Schizosaccharomyces pombe: one gene and its partners. The protein of the gene in region 1 binds, or shares a complex with, the protein of each later gene. Each region holds a gene or a part of one and is shown in the gene's direction. Other genes may lie near its edges. The genes, in order: mrp21, mrp4, rsm10 and mug178.

Region 1 (4,763 bases):
TTTTCACCATGCTTCTTAGTGTTTTTCATTTTCATCACACTGTATCTTCGATTCAGTGGCTTGGTATTTTATTGGTCTTTTTGGGAATCTCCCTAGAAGCCGGCCTCAAAATACTAAACAACAATTCTACTGCGAAAAAAAAGGCATCATAGGTTTGCCTTTATTTTTTTAAAAAAATTTCTTATAAATACATATTACAAACTTTTAATCGTCACCATTAAATAAAAACTTTACCCAAATATGTACGTTATGCTTCAGAACGTAAAATCAGTAGTACATGCAAGTATCGGTATACTTTGCTAACAAACTCTGGAGCATCTTCAGCGAGAGCAAGGTCCAATTCAGACACTAACTGTTCCGCACCTTTATGTTGCCTGATATGATCAATGGTAAATGTGATAAGTGAATCCTCTTGAATACCGATATACTCGATAATTTTCTTGGTAACAAAAGCTTGCATTTCTTCTTTTAGAAGATCCTATAATGTGTTAGTTTAGATACATATAAAAGTTGAAAAAATCACAAACCTCAGTAACCTTGCTCCAGTCAATTGGTAGTGCCCACAGACTTTCTGCTTCAACAGGTATCTTTTCAATAAGTGAACGAAGTCTTTTCGTCTTCTCGGCATCATTTTCTTCCATAGCAGGCTTTGGTTTTTGAGGGTTGGGAGAATAGCCTTGCGGTTCTTCGTCTTCTTCTTCCAAAAGCAGTCTCTCCGGAAGTCCAAATTCTCGTCTTTCAGAAGGAACAGCTGGTTTCTTGGTTTGTATTTTGATTTTGAAGGGACCATTTTCATGTTGAGGCATTTCACTAGTCACCAGCTTACCATTTTCGACATAATTCTCTGTCTCAACGGTTGCACCTTCTCCACGGGTACGTAGTTCTCTTTCTTCCTCCTTTCTGTCAAGAGCATCTGCGTCTTCTTCTCGAGCACGAGCAACTGCACGATGTCTAATCCAAGCAGCACGATCGACAAAATATTCGTCTCGAGATACGCGAGCTTCCTCATCGTCATCAAAAGAAGCTAATTTTTCCGAAAGATAAGTACCAAAGGAAGTGTTATTAACACGTTCTTCTTCTTCACGAGCAGCTTCTCGTTCTAAAGCTGCAGTTCGGGCCTTTTCACGATTCATCCAGCGCCGTTCCCTTGCGTAATACTCTTCAGCCTCCAATTGATCCTTCCTTCTCTTCTCTTCATAATAAGCTTGTTCATCGGAGAACGACTCGGGAATGCTATCTTCTGCTCTTAAAAAGGCATTGACTGTAGACATAGGGATACGTGAAATACGATGTTTTGACAAAAGGTTTTGTAAATCATCATTTTGCTTTCGAAGCTTTTCTTGTTCTTTTCGTGTATACTCTTTATATAAACTGGCATACTCGTCCTTAGACCTTTGTTTTTCTCGTTTTTTCATAGCAGATTGATCGCGAAAGGATCGTATTTCTTCTTCAATAACCGGTAATAATTCAGGATTAATTCCTTCTAAATCAGCAGCATTAATGGGAATTTCCGAAGTTTTGACATTTTGTAGTAATTTTTCGTTTTTCTCTCGGGCCTGTCGAGCTGCCCTTTCAATGCGAGAACGGACATCAAAATTGCCTATATCTTGACAAATTCTTTCGAGGTTAAAGCGAATTTGCTGTAAAATGTTTATCTCTTTCTGCTTATTTCTTGCATAACGACTCGTTTGCCATTCACGATACAATCCCTCATTCTCAACATCTGTAATCAATGACAAGCGAGTTGAAGGACCACCTTCGTACAAAGGTGGAACAACAAAATCATTTAATGCTTCTAATGCTCTACTGAATTGTTCATTTGATTCAAACTCTGCAAATCCAAACGAAGTCATCGAGTTATCTGCATCAGCAACCCTTCGCCAAGAAGCCAGCTTCCCGGACAATCGAAGAATTTTATCCATCCAAAAATCATCCAATTCTTTCGGTATATTACCAATAAAGAGCATCCGCCGCATTTGTTGACTATTTGGAGGGACAAACGGCCGCGATTCCCTTTCTGTTGTAGACTTCTCTGAAGAAGGTGTTTGAAACGTCTGTTTCTCCTGAATCTCATTACTTTTTTGATTTCGGGGTAAGTTTTTTCTATCTTTTTGTTGCGATTCATTATCTCTTAAAACTTGTTTTATGGGAAGTTTACCAAACTTCAGAATTGGCTGCGAAAAATCATAGGGACTACTTGCCTCAACAGGATTATCTACCAAAAAAGCGCCTTGGCCATACAATTTTTTGTATAAGCTCCTGTAATCAGGAGGTAAAGGGGCGAATACAGGTTGGATTGGGACGACATATGGAACGCCGTTGCCAACCATAGGAACCTGTGGCATCATTGGCATACCGGCAGCCTCTAAATAAAATTAGATAAATTCTTTAGCAATGAAATTGAAATTACTTACGCGTATTCTGCCGCTGCATAGTTGTTGGAGGAAAACAGATTCATGTGTATCATGTAAAGGTATATAGTGAAGTGTAAATGTGATTATCCTATTTTTAGTTTATGAATTTTATGTCTTTTACGCTAATGCAAAAAATCGATGTTCAAGGCAATTTAACGAATTCTTTATGCAGTTGTACTGCGGTGAGATTCAGGCTTCTCAAATTGCCAAGAAAACGCAAAATAACTATTTAAAATGAACAGTTCTTATTTCCCAGGTGTTCTAGGGGTCAGATGGGTACATACAAATAGGAAATTGCAAAAGAGAAAAGGTACGAAGAAAATCCATTGAAGTTGCTATTGTCTTTCAAGAATATGATTTTCGATTGTTGGATTATTGTCTGCTAATACTTTATTGATATTTAGAGGAGCATGGTGCGTTCCAAGATTCGCTTCATTTTATGATACCCGCAGCAGAAACAAAAGATTTAGGTGCAAGTGTGACAGTTGGAAATAGTCTAACAAGAGCATTTCGACAAGTTGATAGAATATGTCAAAGGAATAATGTGCCAAGGCTATTCCGTTCACAGAGATTTTATGAAAAACCATCCGAAAAGCGATCCCGCGTTCGTTCAGAAAGACACAGGGCAAGGTTCCGCGCTGGAATTGTTCGACTTGTAAACTTAGCAAAGAACATGCGTCGTTGGGGTTATTGAGTGATTCTTCGAACATTTCATTCTATTTCTTGGTTACGAAAATCCATATTAAATTAATGTATTTGGAGATCGTTGTTCTCATAGCTTTTCATTTAAGACGAGAATGCTCGAAAACCCCCTTTTGAAGTAAAATAATATATTGCTTTTTACTTCTCCGCGGATTTAAGAGCTAGACATTTTTGGGAAATATTCGTTTTTTGTTTTGTCATTTCTAAATTTTTCCTGGTATCTTTGCTTAACCCCTCCCCTATCTTATGATTTTCTACTTAACAGGATTTATTGTCTAATAACTGTCTCTACCTTCTTTTATCTTTTCAGTTTGACAATACTGCGAGATTGAGCTTAATGTTTGCATTACCCTCTAATATTACTATTCTGTTTTGCTAGCCTATAACAATTTTCTTAGTTAAATCGATGAGTTTGTTACTCTATTTATTCAAACTAATGCTGGTCGCAGGAAGTTATTACTTCTGCATGTTATAATAAATGAATTCGTTTCCTTTCGTATTGCAAATGATTTTTTTATTATTGGCCATGTAGCAGCAATTTGATGGTTGTATCCCTTTATCTTATTATAATCGTCATGAGTAAACCGACTCTCAACGTGTAACAACCAAATATGCTTACCGCTGAATTTTCATTAATCTTGGATTTGAGCAATGAAATGATAACCATCCATTTTACATTTCTGTCAACGGAAATTAAAATAATACCGAAAATATCCATTTACAGAATCATTTTTTGCTTAATTACCAGATGACTATAAGTCCCATTATTGTGCACTGCATACCATAAAGTAATTTATCACTTCCTTAATAGATTTCTGATTATTTACTCTTTCATCCAGCTAGAACTAATTACGCATATTGGCCATAGCTCACAATATACGATGGAGCGCTACCACTATTCATTAGTGCATTCAAACACGGCATCCTTAATTACAAAACTCAGTATACATTCATTAGCGTTCGCTTATTCATTAGATCGAGCGTAGATCATCTGAATTTTAACCAATGGTAGATTAAAGGGGACTTCTGTTGATGTTTGTAACGACTCAACACTCAAACGCACTTCACCAGAACAAAACACTTCTTGCCTTGTTTAGGGCATCCTTCTTTTCCAAGAAGCGTCCTGGCATCTATCCAATTTTTGCCAAAAACCCCTAGTATTCCCAGTCAATTGTGGTAGTGGTTTCACGCTTAAATTTTCGCAATGTTTGGTCGCCTCTTGCTGTTAGGGATTTTATTCCATGTCGTCTTTCTCAAATCCATTTTTGATATCTATTTCGTAACTCCTCTAATACATGGCATGAAGCAGTATTCTGCAGGCGAAGCTCCTGCTAAACGCCTATTTCTAATTGTTGGTAAGTAAACATTTGTAATAGTGAAATTAGTGTATAGAGCTTAATGAAAAAAATGTCATATTTTCGTTTTGGATTTAGAAAAAAAAACAAGAAATAGTACAACTTTTTTCTTGTCCTTCTTTTTCTTATTTTACTAACCAATATGCTTATAGGCGATGGACTACGTCCTGATAAACTATTACAACCACATTCCGAAAAGGTCATTGGAGAAGAGCAGACATATGCCGCTCCATTTTTAAGATCAATTATTCAGAATAACGGTACTTTCGGTGTTTCTCATACTCGTGTTCCC
Region 2 (4,724 bases), on another chromosome or scaffold:
TTGATTCCTTTTGAGATGCAACTTCAGCACTCTTTCCCATGCATCAATGTAGTCCTAAGTTTGTTAGTTTAAAGTTAATGAAATTTAGAACGAATACCTCTGAACCAACAAGGGCAACGAATATCGAAGTTCGAAGAGTTGAATTCAATCTTAACTTCTTAGCAGCTTGTAAAATTTTTGAATGGGCCGTCAGTTCTTCTGATTTTTTCTTATCCTGTAATGCTTCAGTAGATAATGTGTTGTCACCAGATGGAACATTATTCCAAGAAGCTCCAACAAGCCACCATCGACCTTTCGTCTCAATCTGCTCAATATCTTCTAAAGTAACTCGTAAAGGCTCTCTAGCATTTAATGAGCGGTTGCCTAACGAACCCAAAAATTTCTTTAGCTGATTTACAGCTTCAAATTTAGATTGGGCGCTAGCATTGGCAACTTTTGTTTTTTTGTTTTCTTTAAGATTAGTGATCGATTCTACCATAAACTTTGTACGGACAGATATGGTTGATGGATCAGCTGAAGCTAATAACAAATTCATTTCCGTAACAATATCTTGGAGAGACGTCGGGTCATCTGATCGCAACTGCCCTCCACAATTGAGGACAATTTTGAGCAGCATTTCAACGTTCAATTCGGTTAAAGAGCGTAAAAAAAGGCGAATCAAATCATAAACAAGAACACATGAAACAAGTTGAAAATTATACAACTCAACAAAAAATACAATCAAGTTAGAAGTCTCCTTATGGGAAGAAAGAGGTTCTTTCTCTTTTGATTTATAAAGCTGCAAAAAACGTTCCACTAGGGTTTGCAATAGATGAGCACCAAAGTCATTGCCTACAATGCGGTAAAGAGCAGTGGCTAACGCAGCATATACTATGGCCAATTGATCTAGCATAGATTCTCTTCCCATTACGGTTTGTAGTAGCAAATTGGTGATGGTAGACGTGACTGAGTGTCTTGAATTTTCCATGTAAAGGACTTCAATCTCCTTAATAATTGAAGAAATATTTGCGATAGACAATTTGTTTAGCGATCCTTGTAATTTCCGACGAAGTCGCAGAGCATCTTCTGACTCCTTATCTCCCCCTAATTTTTTCCGTAAAGATGGAGGGACATACTTTGAGCCGACGTTCGCATTAGGTAAGGATGGGACTGCAGGCTTCAAAGGATCCATCCGAATCGGCTTAGTTTCAGGTTGATGGAATTCATCAGAATTAGACTCAAACCCATGAAACTCTTCCTCCTCCTCACCCGAATTTCCTTCCCTTTCACTTTCCAACTCATCAACGCTACCATGGTCACCTGTATCGTCTGAAACTTCAGAGTCTTCTGAATGACCATATGAAGGATCTTCAGTGCCCGGAACGCCTATGTCATCAATTTCTTGATCTAGGTCTTCTAAAAGCCATCCAAATTCCTTGTCAATTTTTGAGTGAGCAGATTTATCTTTGCTTTTGATGCCAAGCATCTTTTCTAAATGAGCGATTTCACGATCATCCTCTTCCAAAGCAATCTTATGCTGAAAAGCAATGGGATCGAGTAATTTACTCTCCTTTGCCTGTTTATTCTGTGAAGATTTTTTTTTTGTAGATGACTTTCTGTGAGCATCTAAGTAATCATCATTAAGTTCAGAAGACTTACTATCACCTTCTTCTGTAATCTTCCGGTTTTCATAACCATTTTTTCCTCGAGAGATCCTAGCAAATTTTCTTTTTTCACGATGAGGTAGATTATGATTTCGCTTTCCCCGCCTAGCACTCGAATCTATCAATTTGGTTAAATATACTGACCAAATCTATAAAAAAAAGCTTACCAGATTCTCCTATCTCTTCTAAAATACTTTTGGGCAGTTTTAAGCTTCTGCTTTTTTTAATTGGCCTCATACTATCGAATGTTTAAATATTAAACAAACGATAATTAATACTAAAGCTCAAGAACTACCAAATTTTTCAATTAAACGATACCAAAAACTGGTATAATTGCTTTACAAAGAGAAGAATTGGGCCTCAGTCTCGAGTTGGCGTATCGTTTCAAATGAATTTCACAACACTGCTAATGGAACTGTATACAATATCGCAATTTGTTAATGCTATTTAAAGTTGTCACTCTGCTGCTGTATTTTACATTAACGCTCTATGTAGTATCACACTAATAAAGCATATCGAAGTGGAAATGTTGCAATCGTGCAGCGATTTCAAAGTCTTAAAGTACTACTACACCAAACGGGCTTTCATTTTGCTCGAGTCATTCGTGTCTGTATTATGCTTTCACGGAAATTATCACCGGAGCAACTTGTAGCTCGTCGTTTAAAAATACGTGACTGGAATCACAAAATAGGTGCAGTTGTAGCTCCCCATTATTCACCGACATTATCCATTCGAAATCCGGCACCTCCTAGTCAACTTAGTCTTCCTTTATTGTTGTCTTCTGGTGCTCATTTAGGACACTCTACATCCATATGGAATCCTTACACGCAGCCCTTTATATATGGTAAAAGAGAAGGTATTCACATAATATCATTGGATCAAACCATGGTTTACCTACGAAGAGCTATATCCGTCGTTAGATCAATAGCTAAAGAAAATGGAATTATATTGTTCATTGGCACCAGAAACGGCCAGAAAGATTCTGTCGTTGCTGCTGCCAAACGTGCTAGAGGTTATCACATATTTGATCGTTGGCTACCAGGACTTCTCACCAATGCCAGAGAAGTACAAGGAAAGCTTGGCGGTTCAATTTTATGTAAAGATAATAGAGGGAAATTGATTCAAACTGATAAAAAACCAAGTTATGTCTTTCCTGATTTGATGGTTATACTAAACCCATTAGAAAACAAAAGTGCTTGTCTAGAGGCACAGAAAACTCATGTTCCAACAATTGGAATCATTGATACTGATGCGGATCCAAGGATGGTTACCTATCCTATTCCAGCAAATGATGATTCTTTACGGTGTACAGATTTAATAGCTGGTTTACTGAGTAGGGTAGCTGAGCAAGAGTACCAAAAAGCTAACCAAGCCTTCGAAAAAGATAAATTTACACTTCCTTTATGATTCCCCTCTCATTGTTTTGAAAATGCCTGTATTCTTTGATTTTTCTAAACATGATTAAAGATAAGGTCTGATTAATTTTCACTAGTATTCAATAAAATTAATGATTCGTAAACGAAAGGTTAAAAAGAAAGAATAAATTATTATGGATAACGTATATATCACATTTCAATGATTTGATGCCAAAATTTTTGTTAAAGACAGACATATTTTGCTGTGCGAAAGGAAATCATCGGTATGCTTTCACATTTTCTATAAACTCTTTTTTCAATTGTTGAATAGTCATCTTTCTAGTATCCCTTGAATTATGATTGTGTCTACTAGATACACTGAGAATTTCTTTGTCAACTTCGTCTTCTCCAATGACAATTTCATAATTATAATTTAAAAGTCTTGATTCACGTAGCCGTTTGCCAATAGATTGTGCTTCAGCGTTTATGTCCACATAATAGGTATTTTTATTGAGTGGGAGAAATTCAGATTCATTGACTTCCTGATTAGACAATTCCTTTTGTACTTGCTTAGCATAAGTTAGAATTCGATCTGTTTGATTGACTGGTAAAATGACAGCATGTCTAGGACTTAGCCAAAATGGCCAGTGTCCATTTAAATGCTCGATAAGGATTCCCATAAAGCGCTCTAAGGATCCAAATATAGCACGATGAATCATTACAGGTTGTTTAATGAGTTTCTCAGACCCGGCATTGTCTCCCGCATCTGTGCGATAATATAATTTAAATCGTTGAGGTAAATTAAAATCTAATTGAATAGTTGCCGTTTGATGCCACTTTCCACGAGCATCTGCAACCATTACATCGATCTTAGGACCGTAAAAAGCACCATCTCCTTCATTGATGATCCACGTTTCACCACTTTCTTGTAAAGCCTCTCGCAACCCGTTTTCTGCTTCATTCCATGTATCTAAAGAACCGATATGCTCTTCAGGTCGGGTGCTAAGGTATAGTTTTAGTTTGTTCATTCCCAATAAAGAATAAACTTGCTTCACAAAAGTGAGAGTATTTTTTATCTCGTCTTTTATGCTCTCGGGTGAACAAAAGATATGACCATCATCTTGATGAAAGCATCTTAATCTAGTTAGTCCAGAAAGTGCGCCTGATGCTTCATTCCTATGTAATGGACTGAAATCTGCAAACCGCAAGGGTAATTCTTTGTAAGAACGTTCAGTACTAGCATATACAATACAATGTCCGGGACAATTCATAGGCTTTAATCCATAAGTGGCATTGGAATGCTCATCCTCGACATTACGGCTTTCTTCAACACGAAATATTTCTTTCTCGTAGTTTTGCCAATGACCACTTTTTTCCCATAAGTCCTTTTTAAAAATTAAAGGCGTTATAATCTCTTCAAACCCATGTATTTGATATTGAGCTCGTAGAAAATCAACTAAACGATTATATATACGCGTTCCGTGGGGTAAAAAAAATATTGAACCGGGAGTCAGTATACTTGTAGTATACAATTTTTGGCGAGCTGCTATAGTACGGTGATCATTCAAAGTTGATTCGGGTTGCTTGAGGTTATTAGCTTTTGTAGAAAAAGGCGTTGGCCCGAATCGGGCTGTGTAAATTTCAACCCGATTGCATGAATGAGCGAATGGAGTATGCAATTGAAATTTTTTTAATTTCATCATTCGTTAAATCTATAAGCTTTCTT
Region 3 (6,789 bases), 3.3 Mb from region 1:
GCTAAACTAGTGTCAATTGAAGAAAAGGGAGCAGCCACTATGAAAGGCTTTCCAAAGTGTTTTGCCAAAATAGCAAGATTATATGTGCCAATCTTGTTTGCAGTATCGCCATTACGAGTAACGCGGTCGGCGCCGACGACAATGGCATCGATTTTGTGCATAATTGAAGCAACCGTGGAATCTGTGACTAGAGTTGCTGGAATTTTATCATGAACCAACTCAAAAGCAGTGAGACGAGAGCCTTGGTTATAAGGGCGAGTTTCTGTACAATAAGCGTGTTCCAAGTTCCCCGATTCGTGTAAACTACGAATGATCCCCAAAGCTGTACCATAACCTGAGGTAGCTAAAGATCCAGTGTTGCAATGGGTCAAAACGGTGAGCTTGTCTTTATCTTTGTAATGCTGCAACAAGAATTTTCGGCCAGCAGTTCCAATATTGTGGTTGTCTTCTAAATCTTTTACTAGCATACGCTCCGCTTCCTGAATAATTTTATTTCGACAATTTTTTCCTTCTTGAAGAGCAATGCCTTGCATAAACTTTGCAGTTTCAAAAAGATTGACAGCGGTAGGACGAGACTGTTTGAGATGCTCAAAGCTATTTATAACATATTCTTTTGCATCTGCATCTTCAGAAAGATGTTTTAATCCGACAGCCACACTCAAAGCTGCTACAATAGCAATAGCTGGGGCCCCACGAACTTGCATTTTTTTTATGACAGCGAATGCGTCTTCTACATTACTAACTGAAATGTATTTACGCTCGTACGGAAGAAGTAATTGGTCTAATACAAGAAGCTTGTCCTCATTATAAATGATTGCTTGCAACGACATTCTGCCCAAATTTTTGAATATCTCTGCCTTTGAAAACTTTTACTTCACTAGCGCACGAACGCACATGCATCAGATAAAATTAAAGGATTTGATGAAGCTCGTAGCGATGCATTAATAGAAATAATGAATTAATATAAAGTTACACTGTGTAGTTTACTTAGGAACAAAAAATAGTACATTAAGTTTAATATAAATTTATAAGAAGAGTTAACGCAGTCTTTCGTACTTTTGACACTGCTTATAGATAGATAAAATTAGCAACCCTAACTTAATATTGTGCTTCTTATTTATCCGCACTATTTGATATGCATCTAACATTTTGAACGCGTAAACAAAAAATTTAGACTCATTCAAAGATGTAAGTTCCATCGTCAAATTATATTACCAAGTTATTTTGATAATGAGTATGGTGCCTTGAATTATAGATTAAAAAATGTATCACCGAATTTATTTTTAATAATGAGTCGATCTGACATATTAGAATCAAGGAATAATAATATGCATTGATGTTTTATGAAGGAATTACAGCTGTAGAACCTATGTATACAAACTTCAAACTTTTAAAGATGAGAACGATATATTTTTTTCGTTTTCCAGAAAAGCCATGCTTGAAGTATTTATCAAGATGTTCGGTAGTGTCAATTTAATAATCATATGTGCGACTTTGACTTTGACATGCAGCAAGAAGTTGTTGACACCAACCTATCTGCTTGAAAAGTGATACTCGTTTGCAATACTTAAATATATATATATATATATCAGTGATCGCAAGTCAGTTTTGAATGCAGGATTGGTAAACAAGGGTCGCAAGTTAATATATTTATATAGCTGTCTGCTGTAACAGTTTAACATACAACCTTGAAACTGTAAAACATTGAATATTTTTCATTGTTAAAGCCAATTTAAATGAGAACGATTATTGTGTTACGAGGTAAGCATTTAATTCCAAAATCCCTATGTATTCTTGTAGTATAAAGTAATTTGAATGACAAATCAGTAGATTCTTCCATAATTGCAAGTAGGATGCCAGTCCCAAACCTTTAATTCCTAGCTCAAAAGCACAATTGTTCAGTTCACACTTTTGTTAACTTCCGGAATTTGTTATTGTAAAATAATTGTCTCCTCATAATTTTAAAAAATTACATCTCATTGCTGACTGAGAACTCTCATCATACTGGTCAATTTTAAATTGTGCTGAAAGCCTTATAATCACAAATATTCATGTTTAATCGAATTTTTTTGGTTTTCTTCACTATGGTGCATCAATAATATTTTTAGTACAGTACAATCACACCCACCTTTGAATTCTAAACTTTGACCTTCAAATGCAAATAAAAAATTTATAGTTAGATCGTTCCATCATAGTATAAATTACAGAATGATATTGCTTTTTTAAAATAAATGTTACCATCTACGTGTTTTTCAAGGTATTCACGCGCGAACGACATTTAAAATGATTTCGCTCCGCTTGTTTATGTTCAATTAAAACATTGATTAATAACCCCTTAGTCCTACGATAATTGTGTTAAACTGAATATGATGGTGGATGACAAGTGTAGCTCGACCATTACTCCCCACTCCAACCAAAAAATTTTGTTAAAAAAAAACACCTTTACAGTGTTTAATTGTTGGAATTTTGTTCTTGTGGTTTTCTTAACAAGTATTTTAAGTAACCGGCTAAAATATTAATCATGAAACGGTATATGTTTGGTACATTACCTCGCGTGCAACCGAAACGTTGTTTCCAGACAGCTATTGGCAAAGAATCACCGTATGTATTCAATCCTTTCCTCTAATTTAAGCTATAATTTTGTACATTCTAACCCCAATTTATTAGCAAAGGGAACAGCGAAAAGGATCAACTTTTTGAGAATCCATTTTTTCAACAGCTTCCTTCCAACGTTGCAGCTGTATATTTGAACCCTGTTAAATTCAATCCTTCTGAAAACGACGTACTTTGTGCTTCTCTAAAAATTAAAAGCTTTGAAACTCCAAAACTTGATACGTTTACCGACTTCATTTGTCGAACAGCGTATTACATGAAAATTCCAATCAAGGGTCCACGTCCATTACCCAACAAAGTAGAAAGCTGGACTTTACTCCGATCACCTTTTATTCACAAATCTTCTCAGGAGAATTTTGAACGTATTACGCACTCTCGACTTATACAACTGTACAGTGTCAATCCAGTTACTTTAGAAACGTTTTTTAGTTATTTACGAAAATGCAACATGTGGGATTTAAAATTGCAAGCAAAAGCTTATGAATACGAATCCATCGATGATGCCCTTAAAAACTTCGAGTCACAGTCTAAGTCTACTGATAATTTCAAAGAATTGTTAAACGGTCCTTCGAAAAAAGATATAATCACACAAAATGCCGAAAAATTGCTCAGAAACGACCCCATTTACAAAGATTTGTTAAAAAATTCATCTCGAAAATAAAAATTAACTAATGTGTTTTCAATTACTCTGATGTTGGACCGTTTATTAGCAAAAATACTCTGACTGTATTCGTACTTTTTTTTTTAACAATATGACACTAGCTTTTCTTCATTAAAAGTGTTCTTTAACTAAAAACGTTACGAATAGTCCACACTTGTTTCGTTAGTTTTCCTCACCAGTAATTTTTGAAGTTTCTTGGGGATTGCTTTTCGAAAGAACAAAACCCGCAAGTGCCTTAGGTCCTTCAGATTTTTCCATTTCAAGCTGTTCCATTGGATCCATTGGTGCTGCTGCACTTTCAATTTTAGCTGCTCTCTTCGCTATATGAAGGGAATCAGTGCTAAACTTAGTTTGTACAGACCGTTTAATACGAAGCATTTCTTTAACTGTTTCTTCTGGATTTCCGTACCTTATTTCAAATTCTTGCCATGCTTTCCAATAATCCGTTTCAACTCTTGGATCACAGTATTGACTTCCATGAATATATATTAAACGAGCACGATCGATTTCACCAAGTTTCGTCTCCATTTCAGCAAACCTTAAGCACATATCTTTGACTTCTGAGTCACTCAGGGATTCAATAGCCTTCTCATAAACTGTCCTTGTCGCCAGTACACCATAATTTAATGCCACTTTAACGAGTAACACATTGTAAATAGCAAGACGGTCTGCTGTTTTAACCTTGTCGGCCGCTTTTTCTAAAATAGAAATGGATCTTTTTGCTTTGCCAAACTTTTCTTCGAAATCGGCATACAGAAGATAAATACTTTTCGAAAATTCGGGCGGACATCCTTCTAATGCTTGTTCAAATAAATCCCTGGTCCTTTCCATATGCGTTCCTTGATATCGTTTAACAAATTTTGTTAAATATAAATTCCAAAGTTCAAAAGCCACGGGATAACTAAATAACGCAACACCTCTCTCATAAATTTTAAATGAATCTTCAAAATAAGCATTCTCCTCTAAGAGATTTGCATAATTGACAACCACCTGGGGAGTAGCAATTTTTAGTTCAAAGACGCGGTCGTACAATTTGCGTGTAGTTTCAATCGTACCAACGCTTTCCTCAAGATCAAGATAATACATCCATATCTTAGATGACTTGTGTAGCCGTACTTGTGGACTGAGTGATTCATCAAAAAAGCTGATATGACTTTTTCTAGGAGCATGAACGGCATCTCCTATTAATTTTCTCGCAGCGTCAAAATTTTGATGTCGAAGTTCCATCTCGGCCCAGTCAATCCAAACTTGTGCTAACTCATTGACTGTTTTATATGGTACATGAGTAGCCTTTTCAAAAATTATCCTTGATTGTTCTAAATCATCAAAATTTTCATAAAAACGAGCAAACTCTGAAAACAATTTGCCGAGGGAGCCATGCGCCAGCTTTGGATTTACATTTTTTATAGCGTCTGTGTAAACTTGAACAACTTTTTCGCTGTCGTCTTCTAAAAACTTGACTCGGCGAAGCCATTCGTCAACGTTATTTATATTTTGCCTTAATAATACATCATTGATATAAAGCGGACGTTTGTCAAGTATTTTCTCGAGCCAGGCCATATGAAAATCGATACTTAATTCGTCATTTGCATTTCCGCTGCTTGCTTCAACTCGTGCAGATAGCCATTGCTCTTCGAATTCAACAAAAGCATCGAATATAATTGTAAAATTTCTTACAGTCATTATGTTATTCATCCCTTCATAGAATGTGCTTCTTGCCTGTACGATAAGTTAGTTTTTGCAATAAGGGGTCAATAAACAAACCAGTTAAACATACCTTCTCGTAGTCACCAATGCGTATATAATATTGTGCCAAATAAGTCCATAGTTTCCCTGCTTGATCAGAAAACCTTTTAATGCCAGCTCTAAAAACCTTTTCTACGTCTATGTTTTGCGTATGGTCAGGATGCTGAACAACTAACTCGGAAAACTCGAGCCATATCTGATAATTGCTCTTCCTTTTTGCTGATAAAAACACGGGCCGATTTAAAATATCCTCATATTGTCGAGCAGCTTCATTCCACAGCCCTAATTTACAAAGTATCTCAATGTAGTTTTCAATTGCTCTTGGTTCTACTTGTATATATCTGCGGTAGACATGGATGCAAAATAATCCTCCAATATCTTCAGCATATTTCGTAAACATGTCCCAAATATCATCGTGCTGAGTTACCGGTAAGGCGCGAAGTGCAGAGTTAAATGTACAACGAATCTTAGTGACATTTGGTTGTTTCATCAAAAATTGTAAATATAGTTTCCAAATAACAGGCATTTTATGCAATAAAATCAAAGAGCGCTCAAAACAATCGTTTACAGAAGCAAAAGCTTCGGCATGAAAATATGGGTTCAAATGTTCAACATGCGCTACACGTAGTTCCAAATAGCTTTTCCATATTTTATAGCTTCCCGGGAGTTCTGAACAAGCTCTTTCAAATAAAAGCACACGCTTTTCCAAAGTAGATCCTTCATGGGTCTTTATATATCGTAACCAACTTTTCAGAGAATATGGATCACGTAGCAATTCAAGCTCAAACGGCTCGTCATCAACATTAATTAGATCAAAATTAACTTTCAGTGGAATAACATCTCCCATTTCTAATCCTTTTGATTGTTTTCTAAAGAAGCCCGATGTAGGCTGTTGTCGTGCATACAATAGACCTTGGGCAAGTGAAAAATATGAAGTTCAATTTTAACCCCATAAGATGAAACTTAATTGAGAAAGCACATTGCTTATAAGATATAAAACAAATAAATTACAGAATTAAAAGACTGTCTATATGCCCACCTCTAGGGAATTAAGCCAAAGTATGTTGATAAATCAGAGCTACAAAATACAGCCCTTCGATTTCTATTTCATTTGTTGTAAATCACTATCCATAACGACCTTCTGCTATTTAACTACCCTTATCAGTAAACCTCTTCTGTACTTCGAATTTATTCATTGATTGCTATATTCAAATTATATTTATACGAAACGCAAAATCGCTTCACCTGGTAGATATAAAGCTAATAGTGGTGCTAATGTGACTTTTGGTCATAAAAATTAACGAGTATTCAAACTAGTTATCACTAATTAGGAGCGGCAAAAACACTAATTGTACATATAATCAGCTTACAAAAATCACATCGAAATGCCTAAATCCTTGACTAATTGTTTGCAATATATACTATAAACAAAGAAACAATCAATACTAAGACAAACTCCAAATTAATACACGAACATATATATTTGATTTATCTATTTCAAAACACAAGCAAATGCAGTAAGCCTATTAACACAATCAGATAATAGAGAGTTTCTTGGTATCAGGTTGTCTTCAAGCTTTTCTCAGAAGCAGAACTGAAAATTAAGTATCATCATACATGTAAATGGCTTTAGTAAATGCTTCGGTAAAAAACAGCTAAAATCAATTAATCTAAATTAGTTAATATAAAAACATTAATAATTACGAAATTAATGGCTGAGACGTGCTATGTTCATTCGGTGATGCATGTTTTCTGAGGATCATTGATTA
Region 4 (5,693 bases), 2.8 Mb from region 1:
CTAAAAGATTATTTGCTGCGGTAACAGCGTGTATATCTCCAGTCATATGAAGGTTAAAGTCATCCATAGGAATAAATTGTGCGTAGCCTCCACCAGCGGCGCCTCCTTTAACACCAAATGTCGGCCCTTGGGACGGCTGACGGACACAAGCAATTCCAAGCTTACCCAAATGGCCCATAGCTTGAACCAAACCAGCAACAACTGTACTTTTACCTTCGCCAAAAGGTGTAGGAGTAATACCACTTACAACAACATAGTTCCCATCTTTTCGGTGCTTTAAACGTTCATAAACAGCAAGATTTACTTTTGCCTTATAGTTCCCATAATTTTCTAACTCTGTGTCATAGATACCCATCTCCTTAGCAAGATTGCTAATTAATTTAGGTTCTTGGGAATTAGCAATTTCGATATCAGAAGGAACAGGCTTCTTTAACTCTAAAGGATTTAAGTCAATTTTTCGATAAATGTTTTCTGTTCTAGCTATCTTGGCAGCGTTTACAATATTTTCCATTAGCATAGCAACAGTCATCGGTCCGACGCCTCCAGGGACAGGAGTAATGCTGCTAGCAACTTTGGATGCAGATTCGAAATGCACATCGCCAACCAAAACGCGTTTTCCATTTCTTTGAACAGCGTTTATGCCAACATCTACCACAACAGATCCTGGTTTCAACCATTCACCACGAACAAATTCGGGTTTGCCTAATGCTGCTATAACCAAATCAGCATTAGAAATGTGCTGAATTAAATCTTTAGTTTTAGAATGACAGACAGTTACTGTAGCATTGTCCTTTCTCAACAAGTAGCTAATTGGATTTCCGACAATGTCACTTCTTCCCAGAACTACAGCGTTCAATCCAGCGACTGAAATCTTGTTATCTTTTAATAACTCCATAATACCTTTCGGGGTACAGGGATAATGAATGGGGGTAGCATCATTCTTTGCCAATAAACCAATGTTAAATGCACCAAATCCATCAACGTCTTTCGGCGGAGTGATAGATTCAGTAACTGTACGCTCATTGAGATGCTTGGGAAGAGGAAGTTGGACAAGGACACCGTGAACCGTATGATCGTCATTCAATTTTTTTAATTCATGAAGCAAGGCAGGCATTTGGATTGTTTCAGGAAACGGGCAGTATTTAAAATCAATACCAACTAATCGTGCCGCCTTTTCTTTCATTCGAACGTACACGTTAGAATCCTCACGTTTTCCAACCTGTACAATGGCAAGCGCCGGCTTAAAGTTTCGATCCTTAGCTTTCAAGGCCTGCACTTCTTCAGCAACAGAACGTTGTAATTTTCTAATTAGTCGCTACATTAGTAACCTCAAAGAGAAATAAAAATATAAAGTTTTAAGAGCAAAAAAATCTGATGAAACCTCAAACGTGCTGCAATGCCCAATACAATTTTTTAACTTCTAAGTATCGACAAAAAAATTGAAGAATATACGGAATTAAGCAATGTACGCAAATCAATTTTCAAACCACCAAAATTTTATCGTCAAAGACAAACACAGAAATGCACGCTCATCTGCATAGAGAAAATTTAGAATATAAACTTTATCTTACCTTGCCAATAATTTTCCATTTAGGATATTCGCAGAACTTGAAGTACCATACGACTGAAAAAGCCATTTCGATGGCCGTAAGCTGTTGCTTTCTAGAAAATAGTTTCGTAATTGATTAAACGAAACCATTACGTTCATAGAAAGACACCCAGAAGTGGTAGGGTAGTAAGGGAACCTGCCTGTCCTCTGGTGGTGTGTTAAAGCAAAATTTTTATTGGTAGTCAGGTAATCTATGTTGAATAATACGCTTACAGTAGAATATGAACCGAAACATTTTAATAGCGATTGTATTAAAGCAATGTATTCATTCTCGTATAATTTATTCTTCAAGCTCGAATAGTGACTGGAACAATTGCATTATTGCAAATCATAATGTATTGAACAAGTAATAATATACCTAAGCCTTTGAGATAGCTAATAAGCACACAAATAGTCAAAGAAAAAGTTTAAAAATCTGTTACATGATATACAGAATCTCAAGATCAAATATAATAGACAAATATAAACAACAAACGATCTGACAAGCAACTCATTAATTATCAGTAAATAAACTTAGACTAGAAAAATCATATAGTTTAGTTTAGTAGAGATAAACTCATTAATGAACAAGGAAGAACACACAAATTTACCGAAAGTTAACCTTTATAAGTTTCACTTTTCTTATGATAGCCATACCTTTAGTATTACTAATTTATAATTATAAAAAAAATTCCCGTTAAATTTAATAAGTACAAGCTAAAATCGTACTCAGTCATGGTTTACTCGAGTGTAAACAATTAAAGCACTCTGTTTCTCTATCCAACAGTGTGCGAGTCAAGTAACATTGCTACTTGAGGAGAGTGAACGTTTACTACACAACATGCCGACATGACCTCCTAACGAAAGCGATTCTATAACTTCAAACTAGCTATTGTAACATTGGCCATAATTTTGTATATTAATAGAGAGAATTTCATCTCGTATATACTTTTCATGAGTGTGCACACTTGATGTAAAACACTTCGCAAGCTGGATTGCACGACAAAAGTATATAAATAGCTGGCATCAAAAAATTACAGTCGTATTCGTGTGTTTTCTGAGTGATTGCTATTGATATTGACAATATTGACTCATTAGAAGTACCCACTTTCGTTCAGCAGTTACTTTTCGGTGGTGGTTTACATTGGGCAGAATTTGGATGTTTCTGACAAAGTATATCTTTAATCAAAATTATAATGAAGTTTCCTGATTTGTTGAGATGCTCCCGAGCAGTTAGTTTAGCAAGACCAGACTTGCCGAGGAACTCCCCTGATGTCTATGATACGAAGATTCCCATCCTACAAGCAATTACTGCGAAGAAATGCCAAAGATTTCGCGGCGATTGGGGAGCTAAGAGGAAGTTACCGATCCTAAAAAACCGTCATATTTCCATACAAAAGTTTGACACATTCGAGCATCAGTGTGCCTTCATCAGCAGTGACAGATTCGTACGCACCTTGAAACGAATTTACGACCTTAAGCTCCCTGTTCCGCTTAATGATTATGAACAAATTTCCCCTTACCTTTTACAGAAATACAACACTTTCTCAAGCTCAAATCCTAAATCCAGACCTACACTTCCACCAGGTATATTATACGCCAAATTGAAACTTTTAGATTCTTTTTCTGATTCTGAAAAGAAGCGCCTAAGTTTAGTATCCTTTATTCAAACTAAAAAAGTCCCGTTACCATTTACTTACGGAAAATTTGCACCCGACTCTAAAGAATGTTTATTTGGTGTCTCAGGAGTTATAGCTGCTACTTCTCTCAAAGGAATTACTTCAACAAAAAATCGATACGTAATTCGATCTCTTAATGTCGATGAAACCGGTAAAACCATTCCAAATATCACACGAGAAAATAGGAGTATTTAATACCATAATACAAGTTGACATTGACAATAAAAAACAGTAAAACGATTATTTCTCCCGTGAGTCACTTCGGTTTTCTTAAAACAATAGCTTTTCTTTCAAGGAATTGTTTCTTAATATTGTTTTCGTCTGTTGATAATCGTCTATTATGAAGATCCATCCATATTTAACATTTATTTCATCTGCTTACGATCCTGAGTTTTTGAGTTAGGGAAATTAATTGCACGGACTACTTTCTCCTTGAGCTATCATGATATGCCTTTAAGATCATTAAATATTTTTAACCGTTATTTTGCATTGTAGTGAACCGCTTTTTTCTCCCTCTTTTTGTTCATGGAGAGATTCTATACACCTATTACTTTTTCTAGGAAATAATATTGTCAACAAGCTTGTTTATTATTCCCACCATTCTTGTTTAAAAAAGATTGAATTTTTATTGTTTGTTTTTTGAGTGATTTTAACTTATTTTGGTTCTTGTAATTTTCGTTATGGCCGTATCGCATTACTGGAAACCTACGATGTTCCTAAGGGTGTCCGTTTATATTGAACTCTGTTTGGTTTATATTATGTACGCACGTGCTAAAAAATTTGCATAAATAAATTAATAAGCTTATATCAATCAACGCTTCCCGACAGTGTATTAAATTGTAAATCCGATAAACTTTGTAAACGTCTTTTGAATTTGCTTCTTAATTACCCAGTTACTCTAGTACCTACTAAGAGATAAAATCGTGTTTTATTAGCAATCATTATTTTTCTTTTCTTCGTACAATCTTTTATTCAAGCATTTTACTGTAACTCGTTATTTTGCTTTGTACAATAACACTCAGTATTATACCACAATACATTTTGAATGTTAACACGTACATAGCATGTTGTTATAATGTCGAGTAGTTCAAGTCATTTTTCGGTAATTTAACTTTCATAAAATTCGGAATTACTAACTTAAACAAAAGTCTACCGCTGCTGATTTGCTAGCAGTCTTCAGCTCAGATAATAAGGACAAATCTGCAAACAAACGAATTTCTGCTTTAAAGAAAGCAATTGCAGGCATATCTTATGGATATGATATGAGTTCACTGTTTCCATCGGTGATATCTTCTATGGAATCTAATAATCTAGAATTAAAAAAACTATGCTATTTGTACTTGAAAATTTACGCGAGGTTTGTAAAAGTTTCTTTATTTTTTACTAATTGACAGCGTGAAACCCACAGAGGCGAAGAGAGCTGTTAAACTTATTTTGAATGTAATTTTCTAATTTGTACATCTCTTATGATGATGGATGTTAACCTCTTTTAGGACATTTATTCTTCCAACCCTATGATTAGGTCCTTAGCTTTAAGAACATTGACATCGGTAAACATCAAAAACTTTTGGGTTGCTGCTATGGATCCAATTGTAAGGTTATTAGATGATACAGATCCTTACGTTCGAAAAACTGCAGCCATTGGGATTGCAAAATTGTACTCCTATGATAAAAAAATGGTGGAGTCATCAGGATTAATCGATCATTTGAAAGAAATGCTTAGTGATGAATCTTCGGTTGTAAGTTATACGATTCTATTACCTTACTAATTTTTTTATATCAGGTTGTTGCCAACTCTTTAGCCGCTTTAATGAATATCGTAAATTCATCTACTGGATTTAAACTCACATTCAGTAGGGAAATATCTAATAAACTTGTTAAGAGCCTCACTGATTGTTCGGAGTATGTTTTTAACCTCGCTGTATAAATTTATACTAATAATTCAGGTGGCTGCAAGTTGCCATTTTGGATGCTTTAATTTTTTATGTTCCCCAAAAGCCTGGCGAGGCCGAAAGCTTCGCTGAACGTATTAGTCCTTGGTTACAACACGGCAATGCAGCTGTGTGCATGGGGGCTGTAAAGGTTATTCTTTATTTAACTAATTACATGAAAGATGACAATCGAGTTAAAGAATACTTTATGAAGACCCAACCTCCTCTTGTCACATTGCTAGCTAGAAAATCATCTGCAACACAATATGTAATTCTGAGGAACATTCAGATAATATTGGAACAATGCCCAGAAATGTTTGCAAATGATATACATTTTTTTTACTGTAACTTTGATGACCCAATTTACGTTAAGCTTGAAAAATTGGATATCCTAACCAAAATTGCTGATATTCACAACTTAGATCAAATTCTTCCTGAGTTCGTCGAGTACGCCTCGGAGATTGACGTCGAACTTGTTCGAAAATCAGTGAAATG

The links.
Region 2: mrp21 (region 1) and mrp4 share a complex: the UniProt entries of both Schizosaccharomyces pombe proteins name them as parts of the mitochondrial small ribosomal subunit.
Region 3: mrp21 (region 1) and rsm10 share a complex: the UniProt entries of both Schizosaccharomyces pombe proteins name them as parts of the mitochondrial small ribosomal subunit.
Region 4: mrp21 (region 1) and mug178 share a complex: the UniProt entries of both Schizosaccharomyces pombe proteins name them as parts of the mitochondrial small ribosomal subunit.

The regions. Positions count from the first base shown.
Region 1 is NC_003423.3:616,024-620,786, reverse strand, and holds mrp21 (mitochondrial 37S ribosomal protein bS21m), read left to right. Parts: upstream 1-2,613; 5' UTR 2,614-2,648; coding exon 2,649-2,724; intron 2,725-2,818; coding exon 2,819-3,108; 3' UTR 3,109-3,596; downstream 3,597-4,763. Other genes in the region: ER uridine diphosphate-glucose transmembrane transporter Hut1, read left to right, coding at 1-152; U1 snRNP-associated protein Usp107, read right to left, coding at 248-478, 528-2,365, 2,415-2,433; its8 (pig-N family GPI synthesis protein), read left to right, coding at 4,321-4,471, 4,624-4,763. UniProt on the Schizosaccharomyces pombe protein: Component of the mitochondrial ribosome (mitoribosome), a dedicated translation machinery responsible for the synthesis of mitochondrial genome-encoded proteins, including at least some of the essential transmembrane subunits of the mitochondrial respiratory chain.
Region 2 is NC_003424.3:3,063,744-3,068,467, reverse strand, and holds mrp4 (mitochondrial 37S ribosomal protein uS2m), read left to right. Parts: upstream 1-2,201; 5' UTR 2,202-2,258; coding exon 2,259-3,050; 3' UTR 3,051-3,142; downstream 3,143-4,724. Other genes in the region: sgd1 (ribosome small subunit biogenesis protein), read right to left, coding at 1-54, 98-1,761, 1,811-1,880; SPOM_SPAC24C9.09 (threonine--tRNA (Thr) ligase), read right to left, coding at 3,277-4,701. UniProt on the Schizosaccharomyces pombe protein: Component of the mitochondrial ribosome (mitoribosome), a dedicated translation machinery responsible for the synthesis of mitochondrial genome-encoded proteins, including at least some of the essential transmembrane subunits of the mitochondrial respiratory chain.
Region 3 is NC_003423.3:3,867,772-3,874,560, forward strand, and holds rsm10 (mitochondrial 37S ribosomal protein uS10m), read left to right. Parts: upstream 1-2,396; 5' UTR 2,397-2,521; coding exon 2,522-2,601; intron 2,602-2,667; coding exon 2,668-3,274; 3' UTR 3,275-3,436; coding exon of another isoform or gene 3,437-4,993; 3' UTR 4,994-5,049; downstream 5,050-6,789. Other genes in the region: mri1 (methylthioribose-1-phosphate isomerase), read right to left, coding at 1-830; protein Cwf3, read right to left, coding at 3,437-4,993, 5,052-5,867. UniProt on the Schizosaccharomyces pombe protein: Component of the mitochondrial ribosome (mitoribosome), a dedicated translation machinery responsible for the synthesis of mitochondrial genome-encoded proteins, including at least some of the essential transmembrane subunits of the mitochondrial respiratory chain.
Region 4 is NC_003423.3:3,444,982-3,450,674, reverse strand, and holds mug178 (mitochondrial 37S ribosomal protein bS1m), read left to right. Parts: upstream 1-2,450; 5' UTR 2,451-2,784; coding exon 2,785-3,462; 3' UTR 3,463-4,159; downstream 4,160-5,693. Other genes in the region: ade9 (trifunctional formate-tetrahydrofolate ligase/methenyltetrahydrofolate cyclohydrolase/methylenetetrahydrofolate dehydrogenase), read right to left, coding at 1-1,304, 1,572-1,708; AP-2 adaptor complex subunit Apl1, read left to right, coding at 4,343-4,369, 4,416-4,624, 4,662-4,707, 4,761-5,006, 5,051-5,169, 5,214-5,693. UniProt on the Schizosaccharomyces pombe protein: Component of the mitochondrial ribosome (mitoribosome), a dedicated translation machinery responsible for the synthesis of mitochondrial genome-encoded proteins, including at least some of the essential transmembrane subunits of the mitochondrial respiratory chain.